Linked DNA regions of Rattus norvegicus. The protein of the gene in region 1 purifies or fractionates together with the protein of each later gene. This does not show direct contact. Links are inferred from orthologs where the notes say so. Each region holds a gene or a part of one and is shown on either strand. Other genes may lie near its edges.

Region 1 (4,715 bases):
AGGGCTACACAGAGAAACCCTATCTCAACAAAGAAACAAAAACCCCGTTTTAAAGAAAGAGGTAGATGCTGTGCTAGGGTTTTTGGTGGATGCACCAGGGAAGAGCAACAGATGCTATGACTCCTTACAAAGTTGCACAACCTCTCTCTACCAGAAACACCAGACAGCCAAAACTGAGGGGCATCATCTACATAAAAGTATCAAAAAGACGACTGAGGAACTATCCCAGAAGCTGTGAGACACGACTAACGTAATGATCAGGTGTGGAGGCTGAAGCAGGGGCTGCATAACAGGCCCTCCCTCACTCCACCCCCTTAAAAACATGACCACCAAATGCAAAGTCTGAGGCAATTGCTAGACAGGGTTAGACTCCAAAAAAGACAAGAACTGAAACTGCTCCCAAGTCCAGACTGCAGAGGGAACAGCAGTGCTGCACACATGTTAACTTCTCTGACGAGTCTGGGATTATATAAATCCTTGCTCTCACTCAGAAAGTAGGCACTGAAATCTAGGAGGGTAATGCCAACAACCTTCTTTTAAGCAGCTCAGAAAAGTAAGAGCACATTCAGGAGTCTTGGGTGGCATGACGTTCAAAGCCGCTGAACCTGGAAGAATAGATTTGCTCTCTCCCAGTTCTCAGTAAGCTTGGAATCACTTCAAAGATGGTTTAACTGTGTAAAACTACCTTAAACGTTTGGGTGAGATGTGAGACAGGGTTTGTGGTGTTTTCTCTGGGAGCTCAGCAGCCTTTAAATAGTTGAGACTTAATTTTGGGCCTCACAGATACCTTCGTCTGTTTCTCTCTTGTCCCCAGCATGCCTGTGTCCACTCAGCTAGCTTGGCAGCTCATCAGACTCGAGGTCACAAAAGAAATGTATTTCCTATAAAACACAGGCCAGATGAGCATGCTAGCTCACACCCGTAATCCTAACGCTTAGGAGGCTGAGGCAGGAGGATTTCTTCAAGTCCAGTTCAAGCTTGGGTTATACAATGAGAAGACTCTATTTAAGAGAAAGACAGAGACAGTAAGACAGAGAAACAGAGAGGGCACACAGACGGACAAGACTGGACCTCAGGGTGCAATTCAGTGGCAGAGGCTTCCCTTACCAATATCGCTGGGTTTGACGCCTATCACCATCAAAACAACACAACACAATGCAAAACAAAAATCTGTCCACTTATTTCATCAGCAGTGCCCACGTGATCTCTCAAGTCTATTCTGTTCCTCAGCCCTTGCTATTTTTAGCTGCACTGTTCTATTCTGAGGTATAACTTGGTCCAAAATGAGATCTCCCAAGTCTATTCTGTCCCCCAGCCCCTGCTATTTTCAGCTGTATCTTACATTTAGTTCTATTCTGAGGTAAAAACTCAATCCAAAATAAATACAAGAATTACTAATACATGGAAGCTGGCACGTTTAGGCTATGCAGCCTTCCTTCTGCTCACACACTGAGCACTAGGAAGTCATGATAACCACAGGGGCTTCAATGGCAGAAAACACCCCATAGGAACCCCAGGTCCCTGGCACTGTGTCCAGAGCCTATGACAGCCCACAGATGACACCCTGAGGCACCCAGGGCCATGATGATCCACTGGAGGTGACAGCAGCATTAATCACTGACCCCAAAAGGTCAAAACTGAGCATGCTTTAGATATTTATAGCAAGAACAATGAGTAAGATCTCAGCTTACTAATAAGAAATAAAACACAGTTTATAAACCCGGGGAGAACTGTTTTGCTGTACCACTGCACAATGCTTCGTATTTCAGCAACCAAAAATCTCACCCGCAGACGTTAAAACAAACAACTTTTACATATTGCCTTCACTGCTGACACTACCAGACTGAAGGGAGTACCAGTTAGGGTGAGACTGTAAGGGGAGCCAGCACATACAGAGTGGGCTGGGAGAGCCCTACTGCTTTGAGCATGTCTGGAAGTAAGCAACTTCTCAAATACAGGGCAACAAAACTTCTCTAGAACGTGTATTTCCAAAAGAAGAATTAGCACAAATAAAGGATGTTTTTCCAGTCTGCATCACTGCTGGTTCCCGAGTACCAAAAGGAAAGACACATCAGTAGGAGATGGACTGTAACAAATTAGAAGACACCCCCACAAGGTTGTCAAGGAAACCAAACCAAGTATATTTTTCTACAGGAAAGAATAGCAAGAGAACATGCCACAGACTATTTGGTGACAAAGGACTACAATCCCTTGAAAAACATTTTAAGAGGCTAAATTTATTTGCAGGCTATTTATGAAGTACTTTGTCGGCAATGCCAGCAGGTATTCCCAAACCCCCAGGTTGGAGGGCTTGGTTGCCACCTTCCTAAAATTAGCTAAGCCTGACAGCATAAGCCACGCTTAAGGTCTCCTCTGAAAAAAAAAAATCAACGTCTTCCAAAAAGAAAAGAGCTATCTACCTCCCAAAAAAGAAGACTTTTTATTCAAAATGTTAGTCTTTTTTAAATGCATCGGTCAGTGTGTGTGTGTGTGTGTGTGTGTGTGTGTGTGTGTGTGTGTGTGTGTAAAGCAAAGATGAGTGCATGCAAACCAAAGCAGGGGCTGGGCTTGGCTGTGCCATTCAGAGTGGAAAAGAGCAGAGTGGGAAGGGGGACAGGGTGTCAAGTTGACAAGGCACGTGTAAACATCTCCACAAGTAGGTGCTTGGTACATCAGAAGAGAAAGGTAAAACGCCCATGAGTGCAAAGTATGAAGACAGGTGACAAGCACCATGGGGGTGGGGGGGAGCAGTCGTGGGGGGAAGGGGGCCGGACCCTGAGCTCTCAGGTGCAAGACCTGCAGCGAAAGCATCTGCAGCAACATCCCCACGAGGTGCTGCCCACCCGGCAACCCCGCAGCCCCATGCCCTCAGCACCCCATCTTCTCAGAGCCCCATCCCTTAGCTCTCTATGCCCTCAGATTGAGCTCCGTCCCCACAGTTCCCCACCCCACCCCTAGACTGAGCCCTATCCCTCAAACTCCCCAAACCCTCAGACTGAGCTCTGTCCCTCAGCGCTTCGTCCCTCCGCGCTCCTCCAGCGGTCTGACCCCGCGGGGAAATGGCTTCAGGACGCCCAGCGAAGCGTGAGTGGGCGCGGCTCTTACCCGGTGCCGCAGTCAACCACGCAGGGAGGCAGCGAGCCCGCCATGCTCGTCCACGAGGCGCTCGGTCCCCACCAGCCCCAGCGTGCACCGGGGACCCAGAGCCTAGCTGCCAGGTCGCTGCCCGCGCCGCTCCCCACCCAGGAGCGGCCGGGAACCCAGAGGCTCCGCCTCGTGACGTCACTCTACAGTTGGCCAATCGGGGACGCGCACGCTCCGCCCCCTTGTCAGCCATCCTTACTGCTGGCAGCTAGGCTTTTTAGCCTCTGCATCCATCCTGCAGTGGAAGAGATTGGAGTCTATTTTTAACAAGCATAAGATGACTATGACCCCATTTGCGAGGCCTGAATTCTTTCTCTTCTCTCTTTTTTTCAAATCGTAATTTTGTTTTGTTTTGTTTTCGAAGCAGGGTTTCTATGTGTAGCCCTTACTGTCCTGGAACTTGTTCTGTAGACCAGGCTAGCCCCACTTGTCTCTGCCTCGGTAATGCTGGGATCAAAGGTGTGCACCACCACTCTCGGCTTATCTAGTTGCAACTTTTTTGATATCATTGGGTGTGTGTCTGTCTGTTGGTAGGTGCATGTATGTAAGAGCAGGTGCTCTTGGAAGCCAGAGGCTTGGGATCCCCTGCAGCTGAAGTTATAGACAGCAGTGAGTGGGCACCAGGAGTCCGAACTGGGTCCTCTGGAAGCTCAGCAAGTGCTCTTAATAGCTGAGCCATCTCTCTAGCCCCGCTTTCTCTTCTCTTAATTCTCACTTCGGTGTTCCCTTCATTCTCTACCCCAACAACCTCCTGATTTTGTTTCTAACCTTTAAAGCTAGTTTGGGTACTTATTTATAGATAAGCACCTCTGCTGAACTAGGTCTCCTAGGACAGGGCCTCATGCTTAACACCTTTAGCGCTCTGATAGTAATCACCTGAATGTTGAATGAATGAGTAACCTTCACTGTAGAAAAAAATACTGACGACTTTCTATGATAGAACATTGCATAAATGTATCCTGGGAGAAAATCAACAAATGTATAATTAGTCTTAAGGAATAAATGCTGTGTGTTTAGCATCATTTGCTCCATGTATATTATTATATTGATCATGCTTTAACAGTGTGTCAAGTCGACATGACCTAGAACACTTAGGTTAAGTCAATACCACACCAACAGAACTAGGAAATATTTCCAATATGAAAGATAGGGTGATCACCCAGCATCGTTGAGGAAACCAAGACTAAAGAAGGAAACTGCCTACCTACCGGAAATCCCACTTGTGCCCTACACATTAGCCTCTAAAGTTCTTGACTGATGCCTGAGGAACTTTCTAGAGATGTAGTAATTCACTTGGTCTTTTCTGGGACTTAAAGAATTGTGGGTTTTCCACAGATGAATTAGATTATTTGACCACTCATAGGTAATTCTTTATCCTTTTTTCCTGCATGCAAGGGAGCAAATAATCCTAAACCTAAAACAATGTCCAGGGGAACTAAAGAGAAAATATGAAGACAAATAAAAAGTGTGAACGCTCCCAAACGGGGCCCAGAACCAGACAAGACATCTTTCCTTCTGTGCATGTTATTAATGTCCTGCCCATTCCTATTGTCTGTCAGTCTGTCTGTTTT
Region 2 (4,198 bases), about 140 Mb from region 1:
TCCATGCTCTTGGATTGTCAGGATACCTTAAGTAACATTTGTCTTGTTGCTAGATGAATAGTTGTTCCTGATTTGGTTAATTCCAAAACAGGGTCATAGGGCTCCCATTCAAAACCCATGGGAGACGTACCCCAAAGTGTGCCCCATATCATGCATTACTGAGCCCACTGGCAGCTCCAGAAGATGTCACAGGATTTAGTTCCCAGAGATGATACCTCTAAACTTTATAATGTAAGGATCAAGACTTTTTTTTTTTTTTTTTTTACTTTCTATCTTTAATACTCTCAGACAACTTCGGCCTTTTTTACACCCATACACTCTGTATTTTGAAAGTATTCTTGACTGGTTTTCGTTTCACAAATAAATATTCTTCCTCTTTGAAATTTCACCTGGCAAGGAGATGATTTAAGACTGCTAATCCCTGGGGTTGGGGATTTAGCTCAGTGAAAGAGCGCTTGCCTAGGAAGTGCAAGGCCCTGGGTTCAGTCCCCAGCTCCGAAAAAAAGAACCAAAAAAAAGACTGCTAATCCCAGCACATGGGAGGCTAAGGCAAAAGAACCACGGGGAGGGGGCTGGAGAGATGGCTCAGTGGTTAAGACCACTGACTGTTCTTCCAGAGGACCTGAGTTCAAATCCCAGCAACCACGTGGTGGCTCACAACCATCTGTAATGAGAACTGATGCCCTCTTCTGGTGTGTCTGAAAACAGTTACATACATAAAATAAATAAATCTTTAAAAAAAAAGAACCACAGGGAGGGACAGCCAGCCTCAGCTACACAATAGGCTTCTTCAAGAAACCCAAAGAAGGGGCTGGGGATTTAGCTCAGTGGTAGAGCGCTTACCTAGGAAGCGCAAGGCCCTGGGTTCGGTCCCCAGCTCCGAAAAAAAAAAAAAAAAAAAAAAAAGAAACCCAAAGAAGCCAAGGGCGTACATCTGGGGTGTACATAGTTGAGATAAGCCACGTTACCACATTCGATGATAAAGGTATTCTTTTGCTGGGTATTAAACCCAGGTCCTTGGGTCATGCTAGGCACACACCTTACAGCTGAAGCAAAGCTCCATCTCCAAAGTAATTTCTATGGCATTAGGGTGCACTGTTATTTGAGATACATGATGAACTGTGTGTTATTACTTGATATACATGGTTTTCACTAGGCGTTTTCAAATGGTGACAGTTCATAGAGCACAGGTACCTTTAGAAACACATAGTCAATTGCATCAGCTTGGTTCTCTGATTCTGTGTTTTTAGGAGTAGCAAAGAACTCCTATTGCAACCTGTTACCATCAGCAGGAATGAGAAGGAAAAGGTTCTGATTGAAGGCTCCATCAATTCTGTCCGGGTCAGCATTGCTGTGAAACAGGTGAGTTACCAGGGAGGGAGGCAGAGTTAGGAGTGCTCTTTACAACCAAGGACCAGTGGAATGGTTAGAGAGCCAGAGTCAGAGCCTGTTTCCATGAATTTCCTTGGGATTATTGGCCCGAGAAAACAGGTATAGCCAAGTAAGGGGGCACATATTTGTAATCCTAGCATCTGGAAGGCTGAGACTGAAGAGGGAAAGCCCACGAACAGCCTGGGCTACTTGGTGAGTCCTATCTAAAATAAAATAGAAAGTGGGTCAGTAGAACACAACCACAGCAGCAGCCCTATCCTAGGGCTTGCTCTGGATCCCAAACAAGGAAATATGGCAGGCAAGGCCGTGGGGTCAGTTAGGTGTTGGAGCAGAGAAGGTTTCTAACAGGTGATGGCTATGTCTTCTTAGAGTAGTTCCAGCACTGGTTTGATAGTCAGTTTCTGAAACTGCCACTTCATTTAAAAATAGAAGGTACAACACATGCACATACAGAATTCTTTAAAAAAAAAAAACACCCAGACCGTCCAATTCTAGCTTGTCTTCCAGAAGCAGCTGTGTAGGCCAGCAGTGTGTGGGATGGGACATCCAGAGTCAGGAAAGAAAAATGCCAACAACTGTCAAAATTAAAGTTCTGTCTACCAATAATCACCCAGACAAATGTCATTTATTTTCTTTGTGTATTTTCTCTAGTAGTTTTCTAGTTGGAGGACATACTTGTAGGTCGCTTATCCATCTTGAGTTAGTTTTTGTATGTGGTGTAGATTGGTGTCTAGGGTCATGCTTCCACATTAGAATGTTCAGTCGTGAGAATAATTTGTTGGAGAAATCGTCACCATTGTGTGACCTTGGTGCTTTTGTTGGAATTCAGGGGATTATAAATATTTGAGTTTCATTCTGAGCTTTCTGTTCAATTCCAACTCATATATGTATAAGATAGAATTTCCATTCCTTTCCATATTTCTTTTTTTTTTTCTTTTTTCTTTTTCCTTTTTTCCGGAGCTGGGGACTGAACCCAGGGCCTTGCGCTTGCTAGGCAAGCGCTCTACCACTGAGCTAAATCCCCAACCCCTCCATATTTCTTTAGGCAGTGTTTCCCAAATGCCTACCACATCGATCTGGGCCTTTCTGTCTCTGACAGAAAACTCAAGTGGTTATTTAAAGTTTGTTTTAAATTTGAGCTCTATTTCTATTTCCACTTTGGGAAGAAACTATGTATCCTAAATGGAAAAAGAATAACATTTGCCCCTTCTCTGCAGACAACTCTCAAAATAGCAGTCAAAACAAAACAATGTTGCAAAATTCAGATTAGCTACTTCTTGCCTAGGAGAGCTTCAGGGTTAAAAAGACGAGGAGCAGGCAGCCGGCAGCGGGCATCTGATTACCCAGATGCAGGTGTAATTGGAAGAGCTGATTTGGTGGTTGTTGGATTTTAGTAATGTTGAAGCAGACACTCTTGAGGAAGTCTCCAATATCCACATCCCATGTGTCACTGGTGCTGAGAAAAACCACTAGTGTCCTGAGGGTATTCAGGAAGCTTGTAATACAGGTGTGGACTCCATTGGGACTGATGAGAGTCTGGTGTGAGATGCACTCAGTGATACTGGTTAAGGGAGACTGACCCTGGGAGGACTTCTTTTCATCATCAGCAGATGCTGTAATTCAAAGATCTTTGGTCCTGCCAAACCTTTCAGCAGTGTCTGTTAGCCTGGGGAGGCAATGGGACCAGAAAACCAGGCTCAGGGCAGTTTGGACATTAGTGTTGACTTTAAAAACTGTCTTTCTCTTTTGCTGTTGACAGGCTGATGAGATTGAGAAGATTTTATGCCATAAATTCATGCGCTTCATGATGATGCGAGCAGAGAACTTCTTTATCCTTCGAAGGAAACCTGTGGAGGTGAGACCTGTTTATTTGTAATTCCCAGGATTCTGTCTGCGTGTGCCCCAATGTTTGATTTTTGTAGTATTTGGGGATGGAACCCAAGGCCTTGCACTGCTGGACAGGTTACTGTGCTACACCCTGGTTCTGTAGGATTGCAGCCTTTGGGCTGCTGCTTCTGGTTAGGGTTTCACTGCCTGGGCTGAGTCAGCCCATACAGTGCCCTCCTCCTCCTCAGAACCTCGGGCCTAGTCCCAGACAAAACAGTGATTTTAGAATCCTTCCTGCTGTTGGTGGTGTGCATGCTTGTACAGCGTGGGGGTGGCTAAGGTGGGAGAATTGTGAGTTAGCAGTGAGGCTAGGCACACTGACATGGGGTAGTGTGGGGAACACAAAAGCCAAACAAAAACTTTCCTACCAACTGTGAAGTCCAGCCTCTCCGTGCCACAGTCAACAGTGAATTGCTTGTTGTCTGCCTTTGTACTTAAGGTACTGAAAGGTATGTCAGCTCCCTGCCAAGTCTCCCTGGTGACCTGGCAGACACCATCAGCCAACACACCGAGTGTCAGCCTCTGTGTTCTTCACCCTGCTCCCAGTCCTCACTCGAACCTCGGGGCCACTAGAGTGAGTGAGCCCTTCTTCCTCACACAGCTCCTGAAGCAAACAGCTCCAGTCCCATCCTTTTCCGTGTCAGTTTTCCTGTTGTTTTTACTATTGAATTGGCGTCTTTGAAATAAGACTTCTGGTTCCTTTACTCCCTTGGCTCATTTCAAATACAAGGCTATTTGTGCCACGAGGACATCTGGTCTGGCACACGATTTTGAATTGGGTTCAGTTGCTTGGGTCCAGCAGATGCACAAATGTACACTCGCCCCATACCCCAGCACCACCCCCACCCACCCAAGCAAGTTTGGATTGCTGACTGAGGGGTAATATATAGCTCAGGAAAAAATGGAGGCCGGTTAGAAG

Evidence for each region.
Region 2: the proteins of Actr3b (region 1) and Arpc4 purify together in Homo sapiens (affinity purification with mass spectrometry; 5 studies listed by BioGRID and IntAct, counting the BioPlex papers as one, with this or other methods). This does not show direct contact. The link is inferred for Rattus norvegicus from reciprocal best matches to the Homo sapiens genes ACTR3B and ARPC4.

The regions. Positions count from the first base shown.
Region 1 is NC_086022.1:10,086,151-10,090,865, forward strand, and holds the start of Actr3b (actin-related protein 3B), read right to left. Parts: upstream 3,213-4,715; 5' UTR 3,150-3,212; coding exon 3,106-3,149; intron 1-3,105. UniProt on the Homo sapiens protein: Plays a role in the organization of the actin cytoskeleton.
Region 2 is NC_086022.1:148,080,660-148,084,857, forward strand, and holds part of Arpc4 (actin-related protein 2/3 complex subunit 4), read left to right. Parts: intron 1-1,250; coding exon 1,251-1,362; intron 1,363-3,151; coding exon 3,152-3,247; intron 3,248-4,198. UniProt on the Homo sapiens protein: Actin-binding component of the Arp2/3 complex, a multiprotein complex that mediates actin polymerization upon stimulation by nucleation-promoting factor (NPF).